2 linked regions of the Lonchura striata genome follow. The protein of the gene in region 1 interacts with the protein of each later gene in a biochemical or structural test. Links are inferred from orthologs where the notes say so. Each region holds a gene or a part of one and is shown in the gene's direction. Other genes may lie near its edges.

What was found.
Region 2: the proteins of FKBP8 (region 1) and EGLN1 form a complex in vitro, tested with the Homo sapiens proteins (2 studies listed by BioGRID, with this or other methods). The link is inferred for Lonchura striata from reciprocal best matches to the Homo sapiens genes FKBP8 and EGLN1.

The regions. Positions count from the first base shown.
Region 1 is NC_134630.1:7,137,913-7,152,390, reverse strand, and holds FKBP8 (peptidyl-prolyl cis-trans isomerase FKBP8), read left to right. Parts: upstream 1-7,966; 5' UTR 7,967-8,050; intron 8,051-8,552; 5' UTR 8,553-8,566; coding exon 8,567-8,840; intron 8,841-8,976; coding exon 8,977-9,146; intron 9,147-9,387; coding exon 9,388-9,476; intron 9,477-9,716; coding exon 9,717-9,934; intron 9,935-10,007; coding exon 10,008-10,180; intron 10,181-10,264; coding exon 10,265-10,342; intron 10,343-12,259; coding exon 12,260-12,397; intron 12,398-12,799; coding exon 12,800-12,886; 3' UTR 12,887-13,621; downstream 13,622-14,478. Other genes in the region: REX1BD (required for excision 1-B domain-containing protein), read right to left, coding at 1-40, 555-637, 1,459-1,461; UBA52 (ubiquitin-ribosomal protein eL40 fusion protein), read right to left, coding at 2,205-2,298, 2,400-2,502, 2,596-2,682, 2,762-2,864; KXD1 (kxDL motif-containing protein 1), read right to left, coding at 5,383-5,618, 6,151-6,197, 7,220-7,372, 7,457-7,551. UniProt on the Homo sapiens protein: Constitutively inactive PPiase, which becomes active when bound to calmodulin and calcium. Seems to act as a chaperone for BCL2, targets it to the mitochondria and modulates its phosphorylation state.
Region 2 is NC_134605.1:43,656,060-43,672,843, reverse strand, and holds the start of EGLN1 (egl nine homolog 1), read left to right. Parts: upstream 1-8,250; 5' UTR 8,251-8,380; coding exon 8,381-9,295; intron 9,296-16,784. UniProt on the Homo sapiens protein: Cellular oxygen sensor that catalyzes, under normoxic conditions, the post-translational formation of 4-hydroxyproline in hypoxia-inducible factor (HIF) alpha proteins.

The DNA.
Region 1 (14,478 bases):
GTCATAGCGGGGGCCACTGCTCAGGTATGCCCGGTGGCCCCTGCGGACGGGTCGGGGGGAGAAGCCACTGTCACTGTCACCACACACCTGGGAGCTCCCGGAGCTCAGCCCCCTTTGCCACCCGCCACGGGCAGCACCGGGAGGGTTCTCCTGCCTGCTCCTGCCTGGATTGGGCAGCATGAGCAGGCAGCCTCATCCCTCACACGGGACAGGGTTGGAAACTGATTTTTTTTGGGGGGGGGGAAAGTTGGGGGTTTGGGTTTTTTTCATCCTTTACACTCTCAGCCCTGCATCCCAACAAGTCCATCATCTGCTGGATGCTAAAATAGGATTCAGGTGTCCAGCGCAGAGTCCCGCTGCCAGCTGGAGCTCATCAGCCCTCCCCGTGGCCCCGTCCCAACAGGATGCAAAATAATCGCGATGGGGAATCCGGTTCCCTGCTGGGGGTGCCCCGCTCCGGGAGGTGCCGCGTGTCCCGCCCGTCCCGGTGGGTGCCGCCCCCCGGGAGCCCGTCCCCGCCCGGTGCCGGTGCCGGTGCCGGTGCCGGTACTCACTCCTCGAAGAGCCGGTACGTCTCGACCCGCTCGCTCTGCAGCGCCCGCAGCCGCTGCAGCAGCTCCCGCACGGCCTCGCCCGTCTGCGGGACAGAAGGGGACGGGGCGGCACCGGTGAGCCGGTAACGGCCACCGGTGAGCCGGTAACGGGCACCGTGAGCCGGTAACGGGCTCCGGGCAGTGCCGGTGCCGCCCAGAGGGATCACCCCAGTGCCGGGGCAACGCGAACTCGCCCAGCACCTGGTCCTGGGGGTCCCGGTGGGTTCCGGCCGCGGTGCTTGAGCTGAGCCCAGCACCGGCACCGGGACCCGCCCGTCACGCACCGGGACCCCTCGTATCCCCGTGCCCACCCACCGGGCCCCCAGGCCGCTCATATAGGAACCGAACTAACACCGGGATCCCCCAGACACGTGTCCGCGATACCGACGGGCACCGGAACCCCCGTCCCGTCCATGTGCGCATCGGGACCCCCCTCTACCGGACCGGTACCGGCATCCCCGGCCATGCTCACACAACCCGCACGGGCACCGGGACCTCCCCGGCGCCGGGATGTCCCCAGCCCGCTGCAAACGCACCGGGAGCCCCCCGGCCACGTGTCCACGGAGCGGCACCGGGATCCCCGGTTCACACCGGACCCCGCACCGGGACCCCGCACCCACGAGCCTGCCGTGCCCACGCGCGCACCGACCCGCTCGGTCCCGGTGCCGCCCCTCCCGTTCCCGTCCCGTTCCCGGTGTCGCCCCTCCCGTTCCCGTCGCGCTCCCGGTGCCGCCCCTCCCGTTCCCGTCCCGTTCCCGGTGCCGCCCCTCCCGTTCCCGTCCCGTTCCCGGTGCCGCCCCTCCCGTTCCCGTCGCGCTCCCGGTGCCGCCCCTCCCGTTCCCGTCGCGCTCCCGGTGCCGCTCACCATGGCCCGGCCCGGCCCGGCCGCACGGCGCAGGCCCGGGGCCCGCGGGGCGGAGCGCGGTTCCGCCGCCACCTGCAGGCACCGACCGGCAGCGCCGCCAGCCCCGTCCCCGGTACCGGGGCCGCCCGTGCCGGGAGCGCGCGGCCGGGTCCCGGTGACGCCTAGCGGCATGCAGCGGGGGCTCCGCGAACAGGGGGTCCCGGTACCCGTCCCGGTACCCGTCCCGGTGCCCGTCCCTGGACACGCGGCCGGGGGCTCCCGGTGCGTTTGCAGCGTAACGGGGAGAGCCCAGGACCGAGCCGGTCCCATGCACGCCTGGCCGGGGGTCCCAGGGGTGGTTAGGGGGGTCCCAGGGGTGGTTAGGGGGGTCCCGGTGCCCGTGCAGACCCAGCTGTGGTGACCAGAGGCTCCCAGTGCACGGCAGGGGCGTGCAGGGGTGCTGGGGACAGTCACCCCCGTGGCTGGGGCTGCACGAACAGGGTCCAGTCCCCGGCCACGTCCCAGTGTCCATCTGCTGTGTGCACAGTGCCGGGGTCCCCACGGGTGGGCACGGGGGGTCCCAGTGCCGGCCCAGTCCGTGCACACACTGCCACCAGCACCACCACCTCCGTCCCTCCCCACCCTCTGTGCTGCTCCAGTACAGCCCCCGCTGTACTGAAAACCACGATTTGGGTAAAAAAACCACCAGAAAACGGGGCTGAGGATTGCAATTCTTTATTAGCCAGCGCAGGCAAGGGCTGGAGGCTCTACTTGACCTTCTTCTTGGGGCGCAGGTTGTTGGTGTGCCCGCACTTCTTCTTGCGGCAGTTGACGGCGCGGGGGTGCAGGCGGGCGTAGCACCTGGGGGGGACAGGTCAGCAGAGCCCTGGGGAGGGGCTCTGGGACCGCGGGGGGCTGCAGGAAGGGGCTGAGGGGACAGGGGAGGGGACACGGGGACGTACTTGCGGCAGATCATCTTGTCGCAGTTGTACTTCTGGGCCAGCTGGCGCAGGGAGGGTTCGATGATTCCCCCTCGCAGGCGCAGCACCAGGTGCAGGGTGGACTCTGCCAGGAGACATCGGCGTCACACCGGGGCAAAAGGAGAGGCTGGCACCTCAAAAACGCCCCCCCGAAAAAGCCCCGGGGTGCGGGGAGCACCTTTCTGGATGTTGTAGTCTGCGAGGGTGCGGCCGTCCTCCAGCTGCTTCCCCGCGAAGATCAGGCGCTGCTGGTCGGGGGGGATCCCTGCGGGACACGAGCACCGTGCTGGGGACACCGGGGGACCCCCGCGGGGCCACCCCGCTGCCGCCGGCCCCGCCACTACCTTCCTTGTCCTGGATCTTGGCTTTCACGTTCTCGATGGTGTCATTGGGCTCCACCTCGAGGGTGATGGTTTTGCCCGTCAGGGTCTTCACGAAGATCTGCATCTCGGCACCTTCTCACCTGCGGCAGCGGCGGCCGCGTCACCCCGGGCCGGCCCCGCCGCTCCCCGGCCGCTCCAACCCTCCCAAAGCCCCGTTCCCGAGCGCCCCATCCCGGGATCCAGCCCCGATCCCGGGATCCAGCCCCCATCCCGGGATTCAGCCCCCATCCCGGGATCTAACCCCCATCCCGGGATCTAACCCCCATCCCGGGATTCAGCCCCGCTATGCCCGGATCCGCCCCGCTGTGCCGGGATCCAGCCCCCATCCCGGGATCCAGCCCCCATCCCGGGATCGGCCCCGCTCTCCCGGGATCCGGCCCCCATCCCGGGATCCAGCCCCCCATCCCGGGATCGGCCCCGCTCTCCCGGGATCCGGCCCCCATCCCGGGATCCAGCCCCCATCCCGGGATCGGCCCCGCTCTCCCGGGATCGGCCCCGCTCTCCCGGGATCCGCCCCGCTCTCCCGGGATCCAGCCCCCATCCCGGGATCCAGCCCCCATCCCGGGATCCAGCCCCGCTCTCCCGGGATCGGCCCCGCTCTCCCGGGATCCAGCCCCCATCCCGGGATCCAGCCCCCATCCCCGGATCCAGCCCCGCTGTGCCCGGATCCGCCCCGCTCTCCCGGGATCCAGCCCCCCATCCCGGGATCCAGCCCCCCATCCCCGGATCCAGCCCCGCTGTGCCCGGATCCGCCCCGCTCTCCCGGGATCCAGCCCCCCATCCCGGGATCCAGCCCCCATCCCGGGATCCAGCCCCCATCCGGGGATCCAGCCCCCATCCCGGGTTTCGGGGCCCTCCCGCAGGATCCAGTCCCGTCCCCGGGGACCCAGGGCCCCTGCCGGGATCCAGCCCCCGCTCCCCGCTCCCGGATCCCGGTCCCCCTGCCGGGATCCCGGGCCCCAGCCGTGCCCCGGGCCCGCTCCGGTCCCGCACCGCGCGCACCCGCGGCCGCGCTGCTCAGGGAAAGGGAGGCGGGACCGGAACGGCGGCGGCGTCACCTCCGGCGGGGACACCGGTACCGCCCCGGGACCGCCCTGGTACCACCCCGGTACCGCCCCGGCACCTCCGGCGGGGACACCGGTACCGCCCCGGGACCGCCCCGGGACCGCCCCGGCACCTCCGGCGGGGACACCGGCACCGCCCCGGGACCGCCCTGGTACCACCCCGGTACCGCCCCGTCACCTCCGGCGGGGACACCGGCACCGCCCCGGGACCGCCCCGGGACACCTCTGTCACTGCCGGGGTGACACCGGCACCGCCCAGCCCCGGTACCGCCCCGGCACCTCCGGCGGGGACACCGGCACCGCCCCGGGACCGCCCCGGTACCGCCCCGGTACCACCCCGGTACCGCCCCGTCACCTCCGGCGGGGACACCGGCACCGCCCCGGGACCGCCCCGGCACCTCCGGCGGGGACACCGGCACCGCCCCGGGACCGCCCGGGACCGCCCTGGTACCACCCCGGTACCGCCCCGGCACCTCCGGCGGGGACACCGGCACCGCCCCGGGACAGCCCCGGTACCGTCCCGGGACGCCTCTGTCACTGCCGGGGTGACACCGGCACCGCGGGACGGGGCACCGGAGGTTCTGCACGGATCTGGGACCAGATCAACCCTGACCACATGGACCCAGGACTGACCCCCCTGGGACTGACCCCCAAATTTAACAGTGCCCACAGCCCCGGGGACTGACCCCCAAATTTAACACTGCCCACAGCCCTGGGGACTGACCCCCAAATTTAACAGTGCCCACAGCCCCGGGGACTGGCCCACACTGACCCCACGGATCCCAGACCGGCCCCACAGCCCCAGAACCATCCCATGCTGGCTCCACAACCCCATGGTGGCTCCCACAGCTGCAGCTCCAGGATCAGCTGCAAAACCCACTCCTGCAGCCCCCAACTCTTCCCTCATCCCCACCCAGGCCTTCAGGACCCCCAACCCCAGCAGTTCCTGCATCACACCGCAGTGCTGGTGGAAAAGAAAGATCTGGACAGCTCCTGTTCCTGGGAGGTGCCTGTGGAGCAACCAGCAGCACTGTGAGTTTGAGAAGCAAACGCGGCTCTGGCTCATCCCAGCAGTGGAGAACTCAGCCAGCACAAGTCCATCAGCAGCAGGGACAGGCCCCTGGCACAGCTGCTGGGCACACAGAGCCTCAGAGGCAGCATTTCCTACAAAACCTAAACACCTGTGCCCCAAAAACGGCTTTTCTGCACCAAAAAATCTATGCAGATGAAAGCGTAGCCGCTCTCCTGAGCGCAGGAACGAGGGAGGACAAGAGGCATTTCCAACCAGGATTTACTGATTCCCCTGAAGCCAGCGCTGGCTTTCCACCCCAGCCGCAGTTTCCAGGCAGAAGGGCAGCGCCTTCCTCCCTCAGCTTCTCCCAGTTTCGCTTCCCTCTTCCCGAGGAAAACCAAAAAAAAAAAAAAAAAAAAATAACCAAAAGCAAAAAAGCAAACCCAAAAGAGCGACACACAGCTATAAATAGAGGATAGAAAGTTCTCCGGGGTGGGACGTGGCTCCTAGCCCAGGCCGCTGGCCGTGTCCTCGTCTGTCAGACTCTGTCCGTTCACGGCCGGGCCGTCGTAGTGGCCTTGGGATAAATCCTCAAAATCCTGGCTGGTGGCAGGGGAGATGACGTCGGGGCTGGTGTCACAGGACTCCGTGCTCTGCTCCGAGGTAGCGATGGTGGTCGTGGTGCTCTTGGGGACGGGGTCGAAGTCGTCGTCGTCCTCCAGGATGGGGGACTCGTGGATGTCTGAGAGGGGAGAGGGAGGTAAAGGTTGGTGGTGGGGAGAGCAGTTCTCCCATCGTGCTGGGAGCAGGGATTAAAAAATACCCGGAGAATCACCAGCACGTAAATTAGGGGTTGTTTGTGATTTCTTGCAGCTGGATTTAATGGAATTAAGGAGGGTTTTTTTGATTTTTAGGGAAGCAGCTACATGCCAGCACATGGACTTGTGACTCCTGAGAGATGTTCTTGGGAACAGAAACTGCTCCCACAGGAATAAAACAGAGAGTGGAGTTCCAGGACAAAGGGAATGGCTTCCCACTGCCAGAGGCAGGGATGGATGGGATTTTGGGATGGAATTCCTCCCTGGGAGGGTGGGCAGGCCCTGGCACAGCTGTGGCTGCCCCTGGATCCCTGAAGTGCCCAAGGCCAGGTTGGATGGGGCTTGGAGCAGCCTGGGGCAGGGGAAGGTGTCCCTGCCACGGCAGGGGTGGCACCAGACGGGCTTTGAGGTCCCTCCCAGCCCAACCCATGAATCTGCACGTCAGGAATCACTCACTGCTGAAAGCCTCTGGGTACTGCTTTGCCAACTTCCCTTTGAGCGCCCTGGGGAGGAGAGAACAATCCGAGTCCGTGGGGAGCGGAGGGAGCCGGAGCCGAGCTGCCCCACAGCTCCCAGCGCTGTGGGCAGTGCACACGAACCCCGAGGCTGAGGGATTCCCACCCCAAACCCCCAGAAGAGCCCATCCCACCCTTCCCAGCACACGGGCTGTTTCTGAATCCCACGTTCTGTGACCATCCCAAGCAGAGCCCATCCCATCCCATCCCAGCCCATCCCAGCCCATCCCACCCATGGCAGGGACACCTTCCAGTGTCCCAGGGTGCTCCAAACCCCCTTGGGCACTGCCAGGGATGGTCACAGCTTCTCTGGGAATTCCATCCCACCGTCAATCTTAAAGGTCCCAGAGGGAGGGACACCTTCCAGTGTCCCAGGGTGCTCCAGACCCCCTTGGGCACTTCCAGGAATGGTCACAGATTCTCTGGGAATTCCATCCCAGCCTGGAGGTGGGATATTCCTTCCCAATATCCCACCCAGATTCCCCTTCCCACTTTGAAGCCATTCCCTGTGCTGGGATTCCAGTCCTTGTCCCAAATCCCTCTCCAGCTCTCCTGGAGCCCCTTCAGGCTCTGGAAGTGGCTTCAAGGTGTCCCTGGAGCTTCCCTCCTCCAGCCCGACCTCCAGTTCCCACAGGGAACGATCCCTTCCCCATATCCCCCCATCCCCGTGTCCTGTTCCTCCATCCCTCATCCCCAGTCCCTCTCCAGCTCTCCTGGATCCCTCAGGGACCTCCTGGTGACATCTTCACACCATGGTGTCACCTCGTTCATGGAACCAGGGACTCCCAGAGTGCTTGGAAGGACCTTAAAGCCCATCCCACCCCAATCCCATCCCGAGCAGGATCATGGAAACCCAAAGCTCCAACCTCCACGTGTCACTCCATCGTGTATTTTCCCTTCCGCAGCAGATTTTTCTTCTCACAGCCCCCCAGACTCTGACCTGTGCCCCGCTGTAACGCCCCGCCAGCCCCCCCAGGCCACCTCCCGGGCCGGTATCCCCGGTTTCGCACCGGATCCTCCGGAAGATGCTGTCCAGGTCCTTCTTCATCTCCACCAGGGTCCGGGTGTGGTGCAGGAAGCGCTCGCTCATCTGCTGCATGCGCACGCTGGAAAGGTTGTTGAAGTTGAGCAGCATCTCGTTGGTCTTCTCAAACCGATCCAACCTGCGCGGGGGAGGCACCGGGAGCTCGGCAAAGCTCCCGGTGCCGGTACCGGCACTCCCACCGCCCGCTCCCCCCGGGACTCACATGTTTTTCTGGGCTAGGATGATGGCGTTGACGTCCTCGGCGTTCACCATGCCCAGCACCCTCCCGCAGAACACCTGCGAGGCCGTGGGCTCCATCGTGGCCTGCGGGACCGCGGGACCGGCTCAACCGGGGGCACCGGAGCCCCCCGCGCTCCCCGCACCGGTAACGGAGACCCCCCCCCTCCCCTTCCCCTCCGTGACAGCGGGACCCCCTCCGCCCTGCCGTGCACCCAGCAGCGGGCACCCCGCCGCCGTGCCGCCTCCCGGGGCGGCCCCGCTCGCCGGTAACGGGATCCGCTGGCCGCCCGCCGGTGCCGGTAGCGCCGCCAGCCCCGGGCTCCCTCGGGAACACGGGTGCCTGAGCTCCCACTGGTGTCCCCGGGGCCTCCTCCCGGCAGTGCCCGCGCACCTGCGGGAGCCCGTCCCGCCGCTTCACATGACGGGAGCGGTCCCGGTACCGGGGGCGGCAGCGCCGCTTCCGGGTGTGCAGTCACGTGGGGCGCGACCCCGCGCCGTCACCGCGCCGAGCCGGAAGTGCCGGAGAGCGGCCGGGCGGGAGGGACGCGACCCCCGCGGGCATCACGGAGCCTCTCCGGTACCGGTGCCGGTGCCGCGCCCTCGGCCCCGCCGCGCCGGGGCGGCCGCGCTGGTGGCGGCCCCTTTAAGGCGTCGGGGGGCGCCGCGGGCGCGTGGCTGACGGGCGTGCTCCCCGCCCAATGGCGTGGCGCGGTGGGCGGAGCCGGGCCAATAGGAGCGGGGGGGCGGGGCCTGCGCCCGCGCGTCCGCGGGCCAGGTGGGAGCGGCGGGGGGCGCGCGGCGGTCACGTGGGGCGGGCGGGGGGCGCGGGGCCGCCCCCCCCCACGGCACCGGGACCGCGACCCCCGGTCCCACCGGGACAGACCCCCCCACCACCGGGACAGACCCCATCCCACCGGGACAGCCCCCCGCCAGGCCCCATCCTTCCCCGCGCTCCGGAGTCTCCGCTGTCCCGTTGCGCATCCCCCGGCCCCGGAGGGTCCCGGTGCTGTCCGGAGCGGCGGAGCGGCTCTGCCGGTAAGAGCAGGCTCCATCCCTGTGCTCTCTCTCCCCCGCTCCAGGTCGCTCCGCCGCCATGGCGTCCAGCGGGGAAGAAGCGAGGAGCGGCTCCCCGGGCCGGGCGGGCACCGGCACCGAGCCGGCGGCGGACGCGGCTCAGCTGGACACGGCGGAGGATTTCGAGGTGCTGGAAGAGGAGGAGGAGGAGGAGGAGGAGGATGACCTGAGCGAGCTGCCGCCGCTGGAGGCCGTGGGGCGGCCGGCGGCCCCGCCGCGGGAGGACGCGCAGCCCCCGGAGCGGGGCGCGGGGGGCGCGGCCGGGGACCCCGAGGAGTGGCTCGATGTTCTGGGTGAGAGCGGACGCTGCTCGGTGCCGGGGCTCCCCCGGGGCTGCCGCCGCCGCCAGGGCCGGGCGGGAGGCGCAGGAGGGTGGGGGCCGCCGGGCTTTGCCCTCCCCGCGATGTGCTTCGCTCTCTCTGTGCGCAGGGAATGGTTTGCTCAAGAAGAAGACGCTGGTGCCGGGCCAGGGCGCGGACAGCCGTCCCCAAAAGGGCCAGGACGTGACAATCCGCCTGAAGGCCACGCTGGAGGATGGCACCGTGGTGGAAGAGGACCCTGCCCTCACCTTCACGCTGGGGGACTGCGACGTCCTGCAGGTGAGCACCTCACCTGGGAGCAGGACCTCACCTCGGGGGCCACAGGGAGGGTTGGGGTCGGTGACATCCCTTTGGTGGACATAAGCGGCCCTTCTGCCCTTTCTCATGCTCCTTCCCTGCGATGTTGGCTGAGTTAGAGGGGGTTTGGAGCCACCTGGTCTTGTGGAAGATGTAAAGGTCCAACCGTGACGGGAGGTTGGAACTGGAGAACCTTCACAGTCCCTTCTGTTGTCCCCTGCAGGCTCTGGACCTGTGCGTGCAGCTCCTGGAGATGGGCGAGACGGCTTTGATTGTGTCAGAAGCCAAGTACTGCTACGGAGCTCAGGGCAGGTGAGAGCTGGCAGGGCGCTCCCAAACCAGGGCTGGAGAAGCTGTCCCCTGCTCCCCTGGTGACAGCCCAGCTGTCCAACCTCTGCTTCCTCACGAGCAGCGTGTCCTCCCTGGAGCCGAACGATCCCCATCATTCCCTGCCCCAGGAACCTTCCCTGGCTCGGATTGCTGAGCCACGGTGCCGAATCCACCCAGCCCGGCACCTGAGAGAGGTGACAATGGCCCCGTGGCTTTGTGCAGGAGCCCTGACATCCCCCCCAACGCGTCGCTGAGGCTGGAGGTGGAGCTGCTGGCGGCTCGGGACGCGCCGGACCTGGAGCTGCTCAGCGGCAAGGAGAAGATCCAGCTGGCCAACCGCAAGCGGGAGCGTGGCAACTTCTTCTACCAGCAGGCAGACTATGTGCTGGCCATCAACTCCTACGACATCGCCCTCAGGATCGCGGGCTCCAGCTCCAAAGGTAGCTTGTCCCCACCAGGAGAGGGTCGCTGGGCTCCTGGCTCTGCTCTAACCCGGCCTCGGGGTGTGTGCAGTGGATTTCAGCCCGGACGAGGAGGCCGAGCTGCTGGACGTGAAGGTGAAGTGTCTCAACAACCTGGCGGCCTCGCAGCTGAAGTTGGACCATTTCAAGGCAGCTCTCAAGTCCTGTAACCTGGTGCTGGAGCACCAGCCGGGCAACATCAAGGCTCTGTTCCGGAAGGGGAAGGTGAGGAGGGGACCCTTGTGCGCGGCGTGGCGGGGGCTGAGGGGCGGCTCAGCCCTGCTCCTCCACCCGCGTGTCACCCTGCAGGTGCTGGCTCAGCAGGGGGAGTACAGAGAGGCCATTCCCATCCTGAAGGCAGCCTTGAAGCTGGAGCCTTCAAACAAGGTAGGCTGGAGGTGTGTGCTGCCCGTGATCCCCCTGAGCTGGGCATCTCCTGCATGCTGCTTCTCCATTGTCTGCGTCCCTACAAAATCAGCGTTGCCCCTGGGAGGCTGAGACTCCCTGGAGCTGTCCCCAGCTCCGTGGAGGGAGGCTGGGAATAGCCCCCAGAGCCTGGGGAGTGATGGAAGCATCACGTGGAGTGTGGCTGGGCTGGTCTCTAGCCTTATCTCCACGGTGAGAGGTTCCCCGTTGACCTTTGGTCCTGCTGGTGACAGGAATCCCTGCCAGCCCATCCGTGCTCCAGCCATGCCCCAGGGAGGGTCCAGGCTGCCCCAGGTGGCTCGGGCACTTTGTGCTGTGGCTGGGGGAAGTGGAGCAGAGCTGAGTCCCCACAAACTCGCTGAGCAGCCCCAAGAGTGAATCACTGGCTGCTGGGAGCAGCCAGAGCTCAGTCCAGCACCCGGGCAGGGCGAGCTCTGGGTCAGGAATTTCCTGTCAGTTAATGATCAGCTGCAGGACTGGAGCCTCGGGAGAAATCAAACACCAGTGCCAGGAAATGACCCCAGCAGGAGCGAGACTGGGAGGAGGCAGGGAGGTATTGCCTGCACAGGGTCATCCTGGGGGTCTTGGCTCTCCAGATGGGCTTTAATCCTCGCCTGGATCTCTTGTGTCCATTTCTTTCTTGGGAGGTCCACCAGACCATCAGGATACATGTCACAATCCAGTCCCTGAAGGTCACGGCTGAGATGTGGCACAAGCAGGTGCCTGGTGGCCCCACAGCACCTTCAGGGGCGGTCTGAGCACCCTTGGAAGGGCGAGCAGGACCCCAAACCCTTCCTTTGCCATCAAGGTCAGGGTGGAGAGGGAGCAGCACTGGGAACCATTCCCCTGGCACGTCCCTGGGCAGGGCGGCTGCTCCCCAGTTCCGATGGAGCTTCTAATTGGAGAGGGCTGGAAAATCCGAATGCCCGGCAGTGACGTGTCCAGCGAAACCACAAGGACAGCAAATTACTGCCCTCCCCGGCTGCTGCCCGGGCTCCAGGCAGGCGTGGGTGACTCAGGGGCCGCAGCTACCGGTGCTGAAAACACTCCAGCAACGCTGGGCTCCACCTGCCCTGCTGCGAGGCGCTCACAGACATCCCTTCTCCTGAGCCCTTGGAAGTGTTCTGGGGGTGCTGGTGGTTGTGTGAGGCTGATGTGACAGCCCCGGGGAGCTCTGAGCAGGAGCGTTCTGTCCTCCTGACACCCAGGTTTTCGTGTTGGAGGCAGCTTTTCCCGGCGTGGCACGGGCTGGCAGAGCCGGCGTGCTGGGGATGTGTCCCCCAGCAGAGGGCACAGCGTGGCTGTGCCACCAGGGCCACCACCACCACGTCCTTCTGCCACCCTGCCCTGCTCAGCTCCGAGGTGCTTCCTGCTGCTTTTGGGGAGCCTGTGGGCCCCACGCAGGACTGGGAGCCTTGTCCTGCCCCAGCAGGGCAGATGTGGACACGCTGCAGGTCCTGCTGCAATCCCACTTCACACCAGGCTGAGTTTTAAGCCCGCTTTCCCAGCCTGCTTCCAGACAGAAAGTGGGAGAGCTGGTGCATGTCTGTCCTCGAGGCAGACACTTTCCTGTCTCGATGAAAGGATAAAATCCCTTTCCTGATGTCTGGCATCAGCCCTGGGCTCTGCTCCCGGCTGCCAGGCAGGGAGTGGCTTGAGCAGCCAGAAAGGACAGAGGGTCACTGGACCCACAGGGTGTCCCCTGGTGCAGCCCCACGGCGTTGGGCATGGGGCAGGATGAGGCCCCGTCACCCCCTCAGCCCTTTCGGAGCTTTTCCTGCATATCCCAGGGGTGGTGGAACGTGCTGTTGGGGACAGGTCCCCTTCCTGGCAGGCAGGGATGCTGCAGGGCTGATAACAGCACGCTGTCCTCCCCAGACCATCCACGCCGAGCTCTCCAAGCTGGTGAAGAAGCACGCGGACCAGAGGAACGTGGAGACAGAGATGTACAGGAAGATGCTGGGGAACCCCAGCACCGCCGGCACCCCCGGGAAGTGCAAAGACAAACTGCCCTGGGTAAGGCTCTCGGGGGTGGGGGTCCACAGCGGGTGTGTGAGTGTCCCCCAGGCCCCGCAGGAGGGACACAGCCCTGCTGCTGAGCAGGATGTGGCCGGGCTGCCAGGACAGCGATCCCGCTGGGAGCAGGGGGCCGAGCTCCGGGAGCCGTGCCCGGAAAACATCCCTGATAACAGCCTGTGCTGCTGGCCGTGCCCGCCGGATCCCGGCCGTGCCAGCTGCGGGCTCTGGACTTCGCTCCCAGCTGCCCGTCCGTCGTCGGGAAGCGCCGTCAGCTGGCGGCACACGCCGTCCCCAGCGCTGCCTTTTTGGGACGTCCCGTCCAGCGGGCCGGCCGGGCGGGGTGGCACGTGTGCCCTGCCACGGGCACGGCCCCTCACGTCCCCGTGCTCTGCTCCGCAGTCCATCCCCTGGAAGTGGCTCTTCGGCGCGACGGCCATCGCGCTGGGCGGCGTGGCTTTGTCCGTGGTCATCGCGGCCAGGAACTGAGGGTGGCACCGGGGCGGCCCCTCGGCACAGGGCCGGTGCCAGCTCCTGCCTCTCCGTGCCCAGGGGCTGCCCCGAGGTTCTGCCACCCCTCGCCGCCCCAGGAGCTTTCTCTGCCGGCGGTGCCGGATCTCTCCCCGGCGTTCCCCACATCCCTCCTGGCACGGGCGGGTGCAGCTGTGGGCAGGGAGCTGCCAGCAGAGCGGGGACCCCCGGGCAGCTCCCTGCCATCAGGGGCTCAGCCCCCAGCCCCGAGGGTGTCGGGGGCACCGGTACGTCCTGCCCGTGCCCATCCCGTGCCCATCCCGGGTGTTGGTTGTGGTCCTGCTGCCAGGACGGGATGGGCAGGGGGAGGAGGCGCACGGAGAAGGAAGCTGTGGGAAGTGATGTGGATGTGCCCAGGGGAGACACAGCGACATTCCCGATCCCTGGGGGGCTGCCAGGGACCCAGCCCGCCTGGAGGCACCCGCTGCCCTCCTCTGCACATCCCCGGAGCGTGCAATGTCCAAAGGAAGCCAAAGAATCGCGTGGTGGGAGGGATGGAGAGGGGAGCGCTGCAGACCCCCTGTCCTGGCTGTCTTCCTGTGGGTCCAAGCCTGCCGGGGGTCCCTGCCTGCCCTGCAGCCCCCCCAGCGCCTGCCGCTGCCCAGCCTCAGCTCTGCTCACAGGGGGTTGTAGCACTGCCCTTGCACCCCAAACTGACTGTGAACTCCCCAAATAAAGGACAATTCCTTCACATTCAGGTCTGTTTATTGCCACGCATAGAGTGTGCGGTGGGGGGCAATGCTCAGGGGGGAGCCTGGGACACCAAAATCGGCCCTGGAGGAAGCCTGGGACCTTCAGGCTCTGCCTGGGGATCAGGGGATCCATGCCGGGGTGCTCATGACTGGGGAGGTCTGCAGGGCTGGGGGGTTCATACCTGGGGGATTCACACCTGGGGGAGTACAGGGGGTGCCCACCATGGAGAGTGATGCCCGGGGGGCTCATGGCTGGGGGGTCCAGAGGGTTCATGACTGGGGGGCTCATACTCGGGGTGTCCAGAGGGTTCATGGCTGGGGGGTCCAGAGGGTTCATGGCTGGGGGATTCACACCTGGGGGAGTACAGGGGGTGCCCACCACAGAGAGTCGTGCCTGGGGGGCTCACACCCTGAGATTTCATACCCGGGGGTCCAGAGGGTTCATGGCTGGGGGGCTCATACCTGGGGGGTCCAGAGGGTTCATGGCTGGGGGGCTCATACCCGGGGGTTCATGGCTGGGGGGCTCATACCTGGGGGTTCAGGGGGTTCATGGCTGGGGGGCTCACACCCGGGGGTCCAGAGGGTTCAATGCCTGGGGGGTTCACACCCGGGGGTTCATGGCTGGGGGGCTCATACCCGGGGGTTCATGGCTGGGGGGCTCATACCTGGGGGTTCAGGGGGTTCATGGCTGGGGGGCTCACACCCGGGGGTCCAGAGGGTTCAATGCCTGGGGGGTTCACACCCGGGGGTTCATGGCTGGGGGGCTCATACCCGGGGGTTCATGGCTGGGGGGCTCATACCTGGGGGTTCAGGGGGTTCATGGCTGGGGGGCTCACACCCGGGGGTCCAGAGGGTTCA
Region 2 (16,784 bases), on another chromosome or scaffold:
CAACAGCCATTTGAACAATTTGGTAAATTGATGAGGATAGAGTCTACATCTATTGTCTGCCTTTCCCCTCCAGTCAGAAGTCAATCACACAGTGAGGAAGCTCTAATCTAAAGGAGAAATCTTCCTTAGGAATCTGCTTTTTAATGAAAACATGGAACATGGTCCCAGCATTACGGACAATCTGAGGGTACACACATACACCCTGATATAAACAAATGAACAAACACCAATATACACCCGAAACAACAACAAAAAAGAGAATAATTCCAGGGAGAATATATAAGCCTAATGCAACAGGAAAGGAAAAAAAAGTGAAATCCACCTCCTGACAAGATAAATGTTATCATCTTCCCTTGCACTGTAAGTGGATGAAGAAGGAACAAGTTGCTTCTTGACCTGTTTTTTGCTTCTGCATAAAAATGAAAGGCCATTTCTTTTAGTACCAATAAAATGCCACCTTTTCTCTAAGTCACTAATTAGCTGACTGGATGAGCAAGGAACAGGTTCAGGTGACTCAAACAGTGACAAGCTGATGCAGAATGATAGCAAGACTCAATCACAACCCAGCACTAATTACAGCTTGTAGCAGACACTATCACTCTGAACACAAAACAAGGATGTTAATAATACAAATCCAGCTGTGCACTTGCACAAAATCCTTGTAAGCTTAATTTTCCAAGACTTAATCTTTCACTACTGCTTTTTAAAAGCTCTCCAATGTACAACTCCAACATTATGATTCAGTGGATTCATGAACAGCATTGTGCCATCTGAATGCCCATTGAAAGAGATGAAATGAATAGTATCAGTTTAGATCATGCAGGGAGAAGACAACCATTTTGGTAATATGGGAATTTAAATTATTGTATATCCACTACTAGCATTCCTGGTTTAGTAAGTACCTGTCCTTGGTATAAGTTGCTTGGGATGTGCTTTAAAACATTAAATATCTTATACTAATACCTAATACTCTGGTATTAGTCAAAGAGTATTTGCACAGAGGGTTGTGCTTGTTAACATAAGCAGAATAAGACAGAGAACACCATCATAATGAGCATCCATCAATATCTCATATGTTTAGAACTGAACATATGAGTTCAGTTCTAAAATATCAATAACTATTATCATCAACAGCCAGAACTTTTCAACTACTAAAACCTGAAAATAAAAACAAAGAAACAAACAAAAACGTACAAGATTGGAGTCACTGACATGTTGTTCGCGCCACAAATAGCCTGAAACATCTCTCCTTGCACCCTTAGATAGCAGTATCAAGTGATGCTAGCCATTATCCTGTCTTGGTACAAAATACCCTGCACTTTGGATCTGCTGATCCCCTCAATAGTTTCAAAATGAAAAGCTTCTCTTCAATCAGAGAAGAGAGAAAGTAGAAATGGGTCAAGTTACACAATGTGAAGTAAATAAGAGTGAAATTACATTATATGACCGAGTCAGTTTACTATTCTGACTTGGGTGGTCCTGCTTTTCCCTCCCAGATCCTTGCCCTGCTGGTCCCACACCCTCTCTTACACCACATCAAACCGCTTGGTAAGCTGATCCAACTTGTTAATCCAACAGAAAACTACTCTCTTGAGCTGACTCACCAAAGGGCTTGACAAGAGTGAAGCCAAGGAGAAAGGCTCTGGAGGGAGCAGAACCACCCTTTCTGGTGGCATCAACTCCACACTGTGTCTTAAATGAACCACAACTGAAGAAAGTGTTGAAGAAAGGCACAAGAGGAGCACTGAAAGCAAACAAGAAAGGCATAGAGTAAGGGCACTGTGTCTTTGGGAAGAATGGAAATGCAAGAATAGACATCACAAAGCCCTTGGGATGTGATAGACACTGAAGGGTGCAGCGGCAGGAGAGCAATAGGACATTGAATCATGTTATGCATCAGAGGGGGGCAAGGGAACACAGGCACTGTCCTGGCAGAAGGAAGAATGGCTAGTGACAGAAAACACAGTACCAGTGAGTCCACCTGGATTGCAGTGGTTCTTTGGAGTTCAAGCTTAGATTGCTTTTGTCTTTGTGCATCTGTAGCCAGGCCTGGCAAAGGTGAGCTCTTTGGGACAGATGTGCTACTTCGATAGTTTTAACAAAACATGAGCTATAATATTGTGTCCCAATTGTTCAAGAAAAGAGGGAGGACACCACTGCTCACACAAAAAACAAACAAAATGAAACCTGTCCCCATTCTTCTCATTAAACTGCCTAATCAAAAAAAAAAAGAACAAAAATCAAACCACTGTTATTTAGGAATACCACCTAGTCCGTCTTATCAGCTCAAAACCTCTCTCATTATTATCTTTTCCTTCCTCACTTAAATTACTGAGACACGTCTCTCATAGCAGCAAATCTCTTAAGTTCACCGTTTTCTTGGAATCTCCCCTACTTGTACAACTGCCTCCCTAAGAAAAAGAGTTTAGGGGTATCAGAAATTGTGCTAGTGATGTGGAGAAAGGGAAAAGATACTGCATCAACTGCATATCCAAAGATAAAATGTCCAAGTTTTTAGCAAATTTGTCTTCATAGTTTTAAGGAACACTTCTTGAGTTCCTCTCTTGAGCTCTGGGTAACTGCTCATGGGTAATCAGAAAAAAAGAAAAAAAAAAAGGTGGAGATTTTGTAACTCATTAAATATCATGGTATATTGCAAGGCATGAGCTGAGGTATTCTCAAGCTTCCCAAACCAAGGGGCAGAGGGCAAACTGTCCCTGCCTACACCCCAGGGCATCCCTGTTCTCTTTTCCAAGTACAAGACCAGGCACTGGCAAAAGTACGAACTACGTGTCTGGCAGCCGAAAGACGAGGAAAGAGAAAATATGATGTGCAATAAATCAGGTACACACAAAATAATCGTGGCAGGTCACATCATCCTAACACTGCTCGGCATTGTTTCCACCTTAATGATCTTTCAGCATGTCACCATGCTGAATCATGATGACAGAGAGGCAGGAAGCAGATATCAGATGCAGAATGAACAGGTCTTTTTGTGATTGTGGTGCTATGAAGCACTGGGCTTTATGTTGGAGTCCTCTGTTCTCACTCTGGAACACCTGTGTGTAGAAAAATCAAGAATAATTTCTGGAGCAGTTCAGATAAATTTGACCTATATACAGATAAAACAGGAATCTCTCTCTTTTTTTTTTGCCCCCAAAACTGCTTATTGCTGTATCAGTGAGTGAATTTCAAATGGGTTTAAAAAATGTTCTTTAAAAGTAATTTTCTGTTCATAACTGGACTTTGAGCACCCTGAGGGCCTGCTGGCTTGCTTAAGTTAGAGGCCAAAAAAATGTACATAATTGTCAATCTTTAGTAAGACAGGGAGTTCTTTTCTAACCAGAGCCAGAAATACTCCCTCTGGAGAAATATCACAAACAATGTGAAAAAAAAGCTTTTGAACTTTCCATGGTACAAAGTTTAAAATGAGGACAAAACTGGAATGAGTTGGTCTTGAGCATTTTCTAAGATATTCTGCATTTCCATAGCTTTACAGATACAGACATCTGGAAGCAAAATTTTCAGTTAAAAAGAAAAGAACCCCATTGTTATTTCACTAGCATAGTTAATTTTCCTTAAACATTAATAAAATTATTACAGTAGACAAAAATTTTAATATGTATAAATATCTCTGGATCAACCCTAACCATATTTTTGGTGTAAAAAAATGGGCTATATTCCCAGATATTAAACTGTATATAATTTCAGACAGATCCAGGGACAGCAAAATCAATTTTAGTTAAACAGCCTGGAGGAATCGCATAATATTAAAGACAGCATTAAACACAAATTTACATAAAGTAATTGAGAATACTCCTTGTAATTTAGTCCAACACTTATAAACACATACAGTGAAAGTTGTTTACTTTTAAACATTAGATCATTATGATATTCAGTGATAAACAACCAACTTGTTCTGGTACTTTAATTTCAGCAAAAAGTTTTAAGGAAACTCTACAATGGCATCAACAAGCACTAAGCAGAATGAAAGATGGTACAGGGTACTGCAGATTATTTTCAGAGCTTTAAGCCAAATTCTCTGTTGGCCCAAGTGCCCTATTGTGGAGTTGCGTTATTCCCCGGCACCCTATGCCACTTCATACTGTGGAAAACACCAAGTTCCTGGCATATCAAAGCCTGGATCTGGAAAAGTTCTGAGACCCCCTCAGTTATGCTGCCCAAATGATTTGAGGGGACCCTGTGTTTGGTCATGTACTTCTCTGTAATGGCTGGCACTAGTCCCACCAGGCAATAACCCCACACCTTTCAGATCACGTCTACTGGGTGATCCTTTCCTTGCTTTGCAGAAACAGGGGCCAGGGGAGGTATCTGGGAGATGAATAAACCATGCTAACCCTTTGAGTACCTCAGGAAAAGAGCGTGCATTCAACAAAGGAGCACTTCCATAGCCTTGTGGATGTACTCTGTACACTTTGTCCTGATTAGAAAGGAAGTGAGTTTAACAGAGAATCCAACTCAGACAAGCAGCTCTCTCCTTTAATTTGGAAAATCTGCAAACCTGTTACAGTTCACTTGCTAGTATGAAAAGCAAGCTTGAAAAATGGCACTGTTGAGACCAGTGAATAATGGTTTAAGTGGAATAGCAGCAGTCAGGCTGAAGAACATGGTGGAGTGGTCTGGGTGGAGGACAGCAAATGCTACAAGCCCCCAGGTTCTGACTTTTAATTATGATGCTGTTGTGGACATGCATCTGTCTCACTGATGCCTGATGCTACCACTGACCTCAGAAGCACATGTAGCTTCCAAAAGGCCTTCTGGCACCAATGAAAAACTTAGCCTGGTCTCCAAGCACTTTTTATCCTATTCACAGCAAAACTACCTCAACATGAGATTACTTTTCATTTAAACTCTGTTTCTAAACTGACTTTGTAACCTTCTATAATCTTGTCACTCTGCATTCCCCTTCTCCCCAGGCTTCAAAGATTCTTTTTTGGTTGCTTATATAATCTCAGTGCTGCAGTACACAAGCTATCTAAAGCATGGTGTAAATGCAGCTATTATTACCACTTAATAAAAACAGAAAAGTTATTCATTGACCAACCTTTTTCCCCTTTCTAATAAACATATCAGATCTAAATGGTGATAAAAAACTATGACCTTGCACTAAGTTTATCCCATAACATCCTCATCATGACTGGTATTTAATTTTAAAGACTTTTCACTGCCTCTGCAAAGCAGTATGTCTCATCATTACTTAGTCAGCAGTAAAGCTCTTTTCCAACATTCACTGACACGGACAAGAAATTAGGAAGTCCCTTCCTCCTCTGTTCTGGCAACCAGCATATTGATCATGTTACTTAGTATACCATATGTTGCTTTTTGTTGTGCTTTGTCCTTACACTTTTAAGGCACAAGCTCTCTGGCAATGAATAGAGTCTTCTATGCTAGGAAAATATTTCTAGCATGTTGCAGACACTATTGTAATATAAATACTCATTGTCTTCCTGAGTTTCCTTACCACCACTGCTCCTCAACACAGCTTTGTCACTGTAAAACAACCTTCATTAAGTTTTGTGTCACTGGTGTAGTGCTGCAATAATAAGGCAAATCCTTCATACTCCCAAAAATGGATTTTATTGAACTTGGTATTTCTGTTGACCATGTTGACCGTGCTGTGAGACAGTATGATGTCGAGACAACCTGAAGTAGCTTTGCACATTAGCAAATGTGAAAACTAAGACCTTTAATTGTATCCCAAAAAAACATGTGGAAAAGAGAGGGAAAGAACATAAGACTTCTGAAGCCAAATTAGCCTGTAAATTAATAACTATCATTAGATTTTAGCCAGGCACCATATTTGTGCCTCGGTCTTTTTCCGAGTTGTTTCATGGTTGGATGATTGAGTTTCAAGTCTGTGACTTTCATCTGCCTTGTGTTTGCTGAAGGAGTACACAACAAATGCAAAAGATCTTTAACTCTTCAGTTTCTATCTGGCAGAATACCACTGTTTGCATTTCTCAAGTTTTTGAAAAGAACAGCCTTAACTCTCTTCTCATTTAGCCCAGTTTAACAATGCTGCAAGTCCAAGGAAATCAGATGAATTAATCTCATCTTAAAGCATGCTAGAGGAATGCCTAAACCAAGTATTTTTGACATACCTCATATACCTATAGTTGAAGGAAAAACTCTCATTAAACATACATTAAAAATCTGTCCACTTCATGCACTAGATTTAAAACTTGGCTTTAATCCACTTCTTTCAGCCCTCACCACAAAGAAATTACTAATCTGGAATTTTGTTTTTAGTTGCCATAGTTTCCAGTTAATTTGCCATCTTTTCTTTTCCTTTGGTTGTGTGGTTCTTTTTAATTCTCCCTTGGAGCTCACTAGTCATATTCACCTTGAAATTTTATCCACTGGGCTTTCATGACCTTGTCCTCTCAGTACTCCTTTAGCCTTTCTAATAATTCACCCCGGTTTTCCTTCTCATTTTTCATGTACGCACCACAAGGCACTTGTAGCCTTGGTACACTTTGTTTCTGCTGCATTCTTCATATAGTACACTTAGTGCCAAACATTCCTCCAAGTCTTCTTGCCATGCCAATCAATCCTACATCCAGTTCTGTAGCAGAGATAAACACTAAACCATTTTAATTGCATACATAAAGTCATGTCACTATAATACAAGTGTATTGCAGTGTAAAACCTCACAAAAGCCTGCGAGAATCAAAAGCATTAGTATTCCTCTTTTACAGTGGCAGAGAACAAATCACTTATCCAATGTCACATGAAGTCCTGTGGCAGCCTCTGTGTTCATTTCACCTTTCTACCTCAAAATCTGTAATATTGGGTCATGTATTTTACCCTTCTTGGGCTTTAGAAAGGATTTTCTTAACTTACAGTGCAGACCAATAGCATGCATCGTGTCTCACCAGCCCAGCCCACAGAGCAGCTATTTGCTGTCAGTTCACCAAATGCTTTCTCTGAGGAGATGGGCAGAACATCCAGTCCAGGAGGAATCATTGCTCTGCCTCACCACACGGCTCTGAAGCACCGACCACCGTGTTGGGCTGTACTGCAGGAAACTCCACTTTCCTAAACCATACCACAAGCAAGCAAAGCCATGATTAATTGGATCAGTGGAAGCTTAAACGTCACCTCAGAGGAGTCCAGATGCCCATGTGGCTTCTGACAACTGACGTGACTGAGCCGAGACCTTTGTCCCTCCACCAGCACTGCTCTGCCAAACGAGTTTCCTTTTGCCTGTCAGGGACTTTGCCATGTTCATCACAGCACAGGCCCCAGCTCCCGGTCTCACCTTGTTTTGGCAGCTACATCACCTAGCTTGTTCTTCCTGCTTTTTGCCTTTTCATTTCTTAATTAGCCTAGCTCCAGCCTTCACTACTACTCCGTTAGGCGGGACACAAGCCACGTGTTAATTTATGTAGGAGACAGCACGTCTCTCCCGCTCCACCAGCTACCCGGCAGGAATATTTTGGGGCCTACGGGAGTGACAAAACCCACTCTAGCCAGGTGCCGCGGCCGCCACCCTGCCTGTCACTCGAGCCGCCGTGCCCAGCTTCCACGTCACCCGCCGCTCCTCGGTGCCCCCGCCTCACCTGCGGCAGGCCCACACCCCACAGGGGCAGCTCGCTACTGGGGTCACGGGCCACCCTCAGACTAGCGACCTGCCCGGCGACGACGGGGCGGCCCCGGCAGCCCAGAGCAGTGACACCGCCCAGCGGCTTCCCCGCTGTCCCCGCCGGGAAGGCCGCACTCGCCACGGCGGGGGGAAGGGCGCCATCCCCCCAGGAGCCCTGCGGCCCCGCGGCCCGTCCGCGGCCCACGACGGTAGCGGTGCTCTCGGCCCCTCACGCAGCGGCGCGGAGGACGCGGCCGGCTCCGAGCCGGCCCCGCCCGCCCGGCCACGCCCGCCTGACGCGCCGGCGGCGCTGGCGGGCTGGAAGTGGCGTACGTGCACAGCGGGCCTCTGGAGTGGCGCCTCCTCCTCCTCGCCCCGGCAGAGCGGCGGAGGCGCGGTGGGGAGAGGCGGCGGCCGCGCCGGCCCGCGCTGCACCGGGCAGAGAGGCCGGCGGGGAGCGGAAGGCAGCCCCGCACCGCGCCACGCCGCTGCCCCTCGGCCGTTCCGCCGCCGGTGGGGCGGCGATGAGGCGGCGCTAGGCAGCGTTAGCGGCGCAGGGAGGGCGGCGCGGGCCCCCGCGCGCCGGAGGAGGCCGCGGGCCGGCGGAGGTGGAGGGCGGCGGGGGCCGCGGCGGAGCCGGAGCCGGGCGGCCATGATGCAGTAAGCGCTCCCTCCCCGCGCGGCCGGGCGGGGGCCCGCGTTAGCGCCGCTCCCGCCCGCCTCCTTACATAACACGACCCGGCGGAGCGGGGCTGCGGCGGCACCACCAGCGCCATGGCGAATGACAGCGGTGGAGGCGCCGGTCAGGGCGGCCAGGGCGAGAGCGGCAGCAGCAGCGGCAGCAGTAGTAGCAGCAGTAGCGAGCGGGACCGGCAGTACTGCGAGCTGTGCGGGAAGATGGAGAACCTGCTGCGGTGCGGGCGCTGCCGCAGCTCCTTCTACTGCAGCAAGGAGCACCAGCGCCAGGACTGGAAGAAGCACAAGCTCATCTGCCGCGGCGGCGGCGCTGCGGCGGCTGGCGCGGCAGGGGGCGCTACCGAGCCCCACGGCGGGCACCCCCCGCCGCCCCGCGCCCACGGCGGGGCCGCGGCGGGCAGCGGCAGCCGGGCGGGGGTCGGGAAGGGCGCAGCGCCGCCGTCCCCGGAGGCCCCCGCCGAGGCCGCCCCGCTGACCAACAATCACGTCGCCGCCGCCGCCGCAGCTGCCGGCGGCGAGGCGGAGGCACCGGCCGCGGCCCCGTCCCCGTCGCCCTCCGGGGATGCAGTGCTGCTGTACCGGGACAAGTCGAACCTGTACCCGGGCGGCGTGCAGGCGGGGCCCGCTGGGGCCGCGCTGCGCCCCAACGGGCAGACCAAGTCGCTGGTGCCGCAGCGGCTGGCGCTGGAGTACATCGTGCCCTGCATGAACAAGCACGGCATCTGCGTGGTGGACGACTTCCTCGGCAAGGAGCTGGGCGGGCTGGTGGCCGAGGAGGTGCGGGCCCTCCACCACACCGGCCGCTTCACCGACGGGCAGCTGGTCAGCCAGAAGAGCGACTCTTCCAAGGACATTCGCGGCGACAAGATCACCTGGGTGGAGGGCAAGGAGCCGGGCTGCCAGACCATTCGGCTCCTCATGAACAGCATGGACGATCTCATCCGACACTGTAATGGAAAGCTGGGCAACTACAAAATCAACGGCAGGACGAAAGTGAGTGCGGGAGGGCGGGAGCTGGGACCCCCGATGCCCGGCCTCCCCTGCTCCTGCTGCCAGGGGGTTGTGGCGGCGGGAGCGGGGCCGCGGAGCCGCGGAGCCGGCGCTTCCCGGCTGCGGGCGTGTGTGCGCGCACGTGTGCGGCTGTCCGGGGGGCTGCGTGCGTGTGCGCACGTCCGTCCGGCTGTCTGTCTGTCCGTGCGGGTGCCTGTGTGGGGCTGTGCTGTGCGTGTGTGCGCCCGCTGCCGCTCCGCTCCCCGGAGCCGACTCGTGCTTCCGAGTCGTGTCCAGTTCTGAGCTCCTCAAGATCAGAATGAAGCTGCTGCCTTTCTCTAGAGGGTCACAAAGATGATTAGGGGTTTGGAGCATCTCTATCATGAAGAGAGACTGCGGGAGCTGAGCCCTTTTAGTCTAGTGAAAAGAGGATAGAGGGGATCTCATTAATGTATGTAAATATCTCAGAGGTTGATGTTAAAAACACGGTGCCAGACTCTTCAGTGTTGCCCAGTGACAGGACAAGTAGCGGTGGCCGTAAACTAAAGCACAAGAAGAAGAACTTCTTGACAAGAAGAACTTCTTTACGTGTAGGGTGGCAGAGCACTGGAACAGGCTGCCCGGGGAAGTCGTGAAGTCTCTTATCTGGAAGCATTCAAAACTCGCCTGGACGCCTTCCTGTGTCACCTGCTCGAGGTGACCCTGCCTGGGCAGGAGGGTTGGACTGGATGATCTCCAGAGGTCATTTCCAACCCTAACAATTCTGTTCTCACGCCCGGTCGTGGCGGGACCCCTAGCCCCAGCGGGTTTGGGCCGCAGCCTCGGCGGGTGGGCTGCTGTCCCCTTGACCCAGAAGTCTATCCGCTAGGTGATGAGTATTGAAATGGGAGTTCTTTCGTGGTCTCCCGAAAAACGGGGTAACAGTGATCTGACGGGTTGTGGGAAGCAGGGGGCTGGCTGCGAGGTGTCCCGGCAGCGGTGCTGGCTGAGCCTGGATCCACTAGTGCATAGTGTTTTTGGGCTCTCATGAATGTGCTGGGTTTTGGTAAACCTTGGCTCAGGATGTGGCCTGCCAGGTGCAGAACTTAAAAATGTGGTCAGGAGACCGGCAACAGTGAGTGAGTGCACCGGTGGCACAATAAACCCGTGAATTACAGCGAGGCACTCTGGCAAATGGTGTTGTGGCAGGCAGTGGAATCACAGCCATTGAGCAGGGCGGCTTTGGGCAGTGTTTTTATTTTACTCTCATTAAGTCACTTTTCCACAAAAATCTTACTCTATAGCTCTATTTCAAGACCAGAGAACTAAGTAAAAATCTCCCATTGTATTAGCCTAATTTGTGATTCCCTTCCAGTCCTTTAAATAAAATTCATGCCCTTGGTAGAGAGCTAGTAATGAATATTCATCAGTATCTTTTCAGTTTAATAAAAAAAAAGAAGAGGGGTAAAGCCCCTTCAGACTTTGCTACCTCTGTTAAAGCATAAGGAAGCGAGTGAAATGGTAGGAGTCATCCTGCCGAGGTGGTTGCACTGTCACAGATGGACTGTTGTTGCTGCAGCTGCAGAATCTCAGCTGGTAGGAAGCTGCGGGAGGGAGGGAGGAAGGGAGAAACTGGAGGGCAAAAAACAGCCCTGGATTTGTTCAGGGCACGGGAAACTCCCGTGATAAAGAAAAAAGGGTGGGATTTTTTTTTTTTTTCTTAATGCTGTCCTTGCATTTCTTCAGTTGAACCAGTACTGTGCTAAAACATTTAAATGGGAACGTGGTATAGAGTCCTCATAGATTCCTGCAGGATTTTTCTAAGCCAATTTCTCTTTCAGGCAGTGTTAAAGCTCTTCAAGGCTCTTCAACTTGCACTCTAAAAATATCAGTGGTTTTGCTGGATTTCAGTTTTATCCAGCAGAAAGGAATACTTACTCTGTTTTTATGAACAGTGGTATGCTTCTGTAAAGAATAGATGCCAAGGCTTTTGGAGTTGTAATCCTCAGTCAGGCCTGTAATTCCTGAACTACTGTATTTTATGTTCCTGCTTGGTTTTAGAAAGCCCTCTGTATGGGGGATCAGAACAGGTGCAGGGATCAGATCAGTAAAAGCACAATGCTTTATTCCTTGGTGGCACAGAAATGCATTACCTTGTCTTCTCATTTTCCCTTGCTTATTTCCCTGCAAAAATCAGTGCTTTTAGTGTGCAGGAAAGCTCAGTCCTCTAAAATGCCAGTAAAAGCAGAATGAAAACTGTCATTCACTCTCAAAGATTTATCTCAGAGTTGAGTAAACAGAAGGAGACGATACCCAGAGTATCACTTCAAATAACTTGTATTGTAACCATATAACTTGTAACCCATGGGTGGTGTTGGCATTGAACCTGCCCTCTCACTTCTTTGGCAAATGTCTGTTGAAATGCCCGTCAACTGTCTAGAAGCAGTGTATGAAAAAGCAAGAAGAAATGGATCTGGGGTATATATACCCTGAATCTCTTGTCTTGTAAACCTGCCTGTCAGTGAAAATCTATGTTGTGTTAATAGGATCTAATTCAAACATTTACATTCACCAGGGCCAGTCCATTAAGGCAAAGAACATGAAATAAGGTAAAATGTTGGTTGTGACTTGAGATTTTATATTTTAAAGTCTCTGATAGATGCTTTCTCTAGGTTACCAGGGCCACCTAGAACTGGTATACATAAACTGATGTGGTTCTACCTATTCCTGAGTGTCAGCAAATTACTCTCCAGCCTGAAAGATATCTATACAGCACTAGTTATAAACTAGCCAGGTAACTTTGAGATGTGTGGAGACAGCAGCAAGTATAAGAGAATGGCTAACTAATTTTGTTTTAGAGTGGCTAACTATTTACTCATCTTGGAAGTCCTGACTTACTGCATTCCTTGCTTTTGTTCTTTCTTTCCAGACTCTGCTTCCTTCTTTTCTTTAGCAGACAGTGGCACATACTTGCATATTTGAGCTCTTGTCTTTCTCCTACTTCCTGTTATTTTCTAGTTTTTACTTCTTTCATCTTTTCATAAATTCTCTTTTTTTTCCTTGATCTTATCAGTTGCCACATTTGTACATGCATGTATTTCTGTTTCTTGCCTGTCCTGTTCTTACATGACTAGTGGAGGTAAAAGCCTGCTCATCAAAATCGGGGAAAGAAATCATCCTAAATCTCACCCAGGTGAGATGTTTTTTCCTCCTTTCCCATATGGAGCATGAAGAAGGGGTTAAGGGTAGCAGCAGGTTTATGATTTTTTTTTGTTAGCTTTCTCTTTCCCCTGTTGTGGACTCTGCTGATCTGAGGCATACATCCTTTACTGGTCCTGGAGTAATACTGCGACTTCCCAGTTGTGGACTGGGTTCCTAGTAATCATATAACCAGACACGTGATCCATCAGCTATTCTGCTTTCTGCTCACCATTACACCCAGTACCAGCCCTCTCTTAAGCCCTACCCTCTGCCTTTTGTTAGAAGGACATTAAAATAGACAGTTTGACAGGCCGTCTTGCATCCCTTTAGTTTTTCTTTCATTCCTACTTCTAGAAACCTGTCAGGAGACTAATCCTGTTCATATTGCTGCATTTTAATGCTCTCCTCTCTCTAGTAGTAGGCTAGTGGCAACCCACTGCTTCTCAGCCACCTGTAGCTTAAAAAATTGTTTTACTTGTTACATATCATGCAAACTTTCTTTTCTGCATTTTCTGGCAATTGCTAATCTCTTACTCTGGAGATCCTGGAGTTTTCTGAAGACCTAGGGGACTCTGGGTTCAGACTAGTCCGACTGTGCCCTATTAAATTAGATTCTTTCAAAGTTAGTAATGCTTCTTTAGAAAGTAATTCTCCAAGAGTGAGTGGGTTTCTCATACCCTGCGGTTAGCTTTTTTATAAACTGGACAGAAGAGGCTCTCTACTCTTGACACTTGCAGCTTTTCTACAAACATGTTGGATTAATGTTACCAAGGAAAATTAAGATTTATGGGTGTTCTTTCCACTATATCTTATTCTACAAAATATAACTTTAAGCATGTGTGGCAATAAGAAGACAAATGAAAAATAAGAGGGAATAAGAACTTGGCAACCAAGCAGGTACTGGAAAGTGATGATGATACCAAAACTCTGGTAGAAGAAAGGAGAGGGATCACAGGGGCAGGTGTGCAGCTGGGGTAAGTCCTCCTCTTGTTGAAGGACCCAAGAGCTGTGACTGGAGATCTGGGATTAGGAATGTCTGTAAAGTGGGAGGCTTTCCTTCAGTTTGCCTGTGTCATGTGTGATTACATTGATCCTCCTGTATCATTCTGGAGATCATTTCACTATCACACCTTGAATTTATTTCTTGGTAGAAAACTTACTGATCTGATTGGTTCCTAGTGAATGACCTCATGTACAGCTTGGAATTTGCCACTGAATTGTGGGAAAATGTGGGTAGGTCTCTCCGTCTCCAGTACTCGCTTGTGTTGCTTCACCTTGATACAGAATATGACCAGTGCTTGTCCTTATCTGTTGGTTGTTTCCCTGACAGCAGCTTCTGTTGGTGATGTTGTTTTCTTGTAGATGAGTTTGCTGTCTTCGAAGGATTGTGTGGTGATCCGTGGATACACAACAGCCCACACACCATTCTTAAATCCCTGTTAGAGTAGAGCCCTGACATGTGAGGACTATAGTTTTGATTTGCTATTCCTCATGTACAAGCCTTTTGGGTCCCAGATGAAGCAGATGATCAGGGGAGTGACTGGGGTTATTCCTGCAAATGATCATTTGATGGAGAAGCATAGCAGCATCCAGAAAATACTCTTGTTCACAGCCAACTTTAGAATTGCTGAGATTCTGACAGGTTCTCCTACTAGAGAAAATTAGATGTGCTGGTTTCTGAGGGGCAGCTGTGTGGTGACCGCAACTTTGAAGTGTGGTATGAATTCCAAGGGTGGGGTGCACCACCTGTGACTGCTAGGACTTCTCCACACCCTTGTGTGTTAGGCTGTAGTTCAATGAACATTCTGGGCTGGCAGTGCTGGAGGAGTATTCATTCTTCTTTGCCAGCACAAGTATTTACATGGCCATCCTGTGAACTGGTTTTGGGGAACTGATCCATCTGAAAAATAAACTGGCAAAAGAAGTGCTCCTGGTTCAGTGTTCGGATGTTTGTGCTGGCACAGAGGACTGGCAGATGGTGAGACTTTCTTTCAGCAGCAATGTAAATTTATGCCAGTTTAAAGTGTTTGCCAAACTACAGCCTTAGTTTAGCACTTGAGTCTGATTCTCCCAAATTTTGCCCTTGAAAATTTAAACATAGTTTAAGAAATCTTCACTAGCTATGTAATTTTTTTCTTTCTTTTTTTGCTCTTACGTGCTCAGTGTGAGGCTCAGTTCTTGCCATCAGAAACACATACTTCTGTCCTCCAAGAATCTTTCTTACAACAATTTTATACAGAAACTTTGCTCATCTACCCACCAGGTGATCCCACATAACATGTACAGTGGAACATGTATCTTCTCCAAATGAAAACTGATTTTCACACACTCCTAGCTTCAAAATCAATCTTCTCTTAAGCTTATTGGCTGTTCCTATCCCTTATTCTAGAGTTTTATTAGCATCAAAGATGTTCTTGACCTCTGTTTCAAGAGAGCTGGATTCATGTCATCTGCCATGAACAGTGTGCTGCAGCTTGCTTCTGTTTGCTGCTGTTGAGGAGGGTCCCTGCTCAGCCCCATCCCCTTATGCCAGCTCTAGTGCTTGTTTTTCTTGCTTTTCCAAGCCATTTTTGACTGTAACTAGAGTTCACATTTTGTAGTTGTTACTGTTCTGGAGATAAGGAACCTGTGGCATTATAGTTTGTACTCATCAGTGATTTTGGTACACTATGGATAATTAATTTTTTCCTGCCAGTGATATTAATGATTTTTTGACTATGTTGCTTCTTTGATGTTCTATGCTGTCTCTTCTGCAAGGATTGGGCTCATTTAATACTGCCTAAAAATTAAGTGGGATGCTTCTCATCATAGCTGTACAGCTTGAGAGGAAGAGCTGTCTTCCCTTCCCTGTGGCCTCTTGGACTGAAATGCTTTGCAGGTGATGTCCTGCCAAGTCATAGGACTGTCTGAACGGCAGTTCTCAGATCCCTGGGTTAGTTGTATCAGTAACCTTGACTGGTTGTTGAGAGATGTTTTCCTTTTTGTCTAAATGGTGCTTAATTTCTGATTAGGCTGCTAGCTATTTCCTGAAAAAATAAATTTACAGCATATTATTTTCTTCTGTGATATTTACCATGTTCATTTGATTTGTAATTCAGTTGGATAGCCTGTCTTGATTCATATCTGATGGCTCATGGCTAAAACAGGCTAGGTTGCTATTGGAATTTTGCAGGATGCTGTCTTTCTGGTTGCTTCTGTGTTGTTCTGTACTGTTCTGCTAGTACATATGTTTGTATGTCTAGGTATGTACATAGTGTACTTGCAATTTAAAGGAAGGCTTTCTCCTGCAGCAGAAAGGAAACTTTTTTTTAAAAGGGAAACAGATACTCTATATCAAGCAAAAATTTCTTCTTGCCTATCCAGAATAGTTTGTCTTTAGACTCCTTAGAGAGCTCTTGTACAAAGACAGCACTTTTTTCAGTTCTAAAATTAATTTTGGGACTGGTGTGAGTGGATTGGTTAGTGAAGTCTTCAGCAGGACACTCGTGGGGCTCCCTAGCTCTTGTGCTGCTGTATTTTGTTACTTTTCAGTGGGGGAGTGACTGCAGACAATGCAAGGACTGTACAAGTGTTTTTTGGAAATCAGCATACTCAGATTATATAAATTCAAGTTCTTTATTCATTGGCATGTTTTTTACACTTCACTAAGAAAACAGTATTTTGAAAGCAGTATTTTTAATGAATAAAACAGTAGAGTTATTTGACTTTGCAGTTACTACTGAGTGAAATAATCATTATTTATTATATCCTTTTTGTCTTCTGCATTTGTGACTTCCTTAGACTCTTCAGAAGGAGCACTAACGCTAGTCTTTGAGGAATTTTGAAAAAGTAATTTGCTGCTGATTAAATCCTTGTAAACTCTTTTTAGTTTCTGAAGGTTGTTGGTTAAGATGGGTGGTCAGGCATATTTCCAGTGCAGGCTTGTGCCAGAATTAGCTGGTAAGTGGCAGTCGTAAGCTTCAGGTCAAAATCCACTCACTGTTCCAGGGCAGCGTCTGTCAAAAATAGAGCAATGCTTTTATGCACGTAACAGCTGCTTACACTTGAAGACTTTCTTGTTCTTTGGTATTTAACTTAAAACTGCTTAAGAGTATTTCTGTTAGCACATGGTGTTATAAATAGGAATCGGGTAGAAGTGTGCGTGCCTGCATGTCTGTGCAGAGGTTTTGTGTGGAGGTAGGGTTGTTATCAATATGTTGTGTGTGTAGTGCTCTGAAAAGAGATGAAGTCCATACCTGTAGGGTAACTAATGCGGTCTAAAGAGAAAGGTTATTTAATACTCAAGGATTAATTTTGCACATTAATTTAGGCT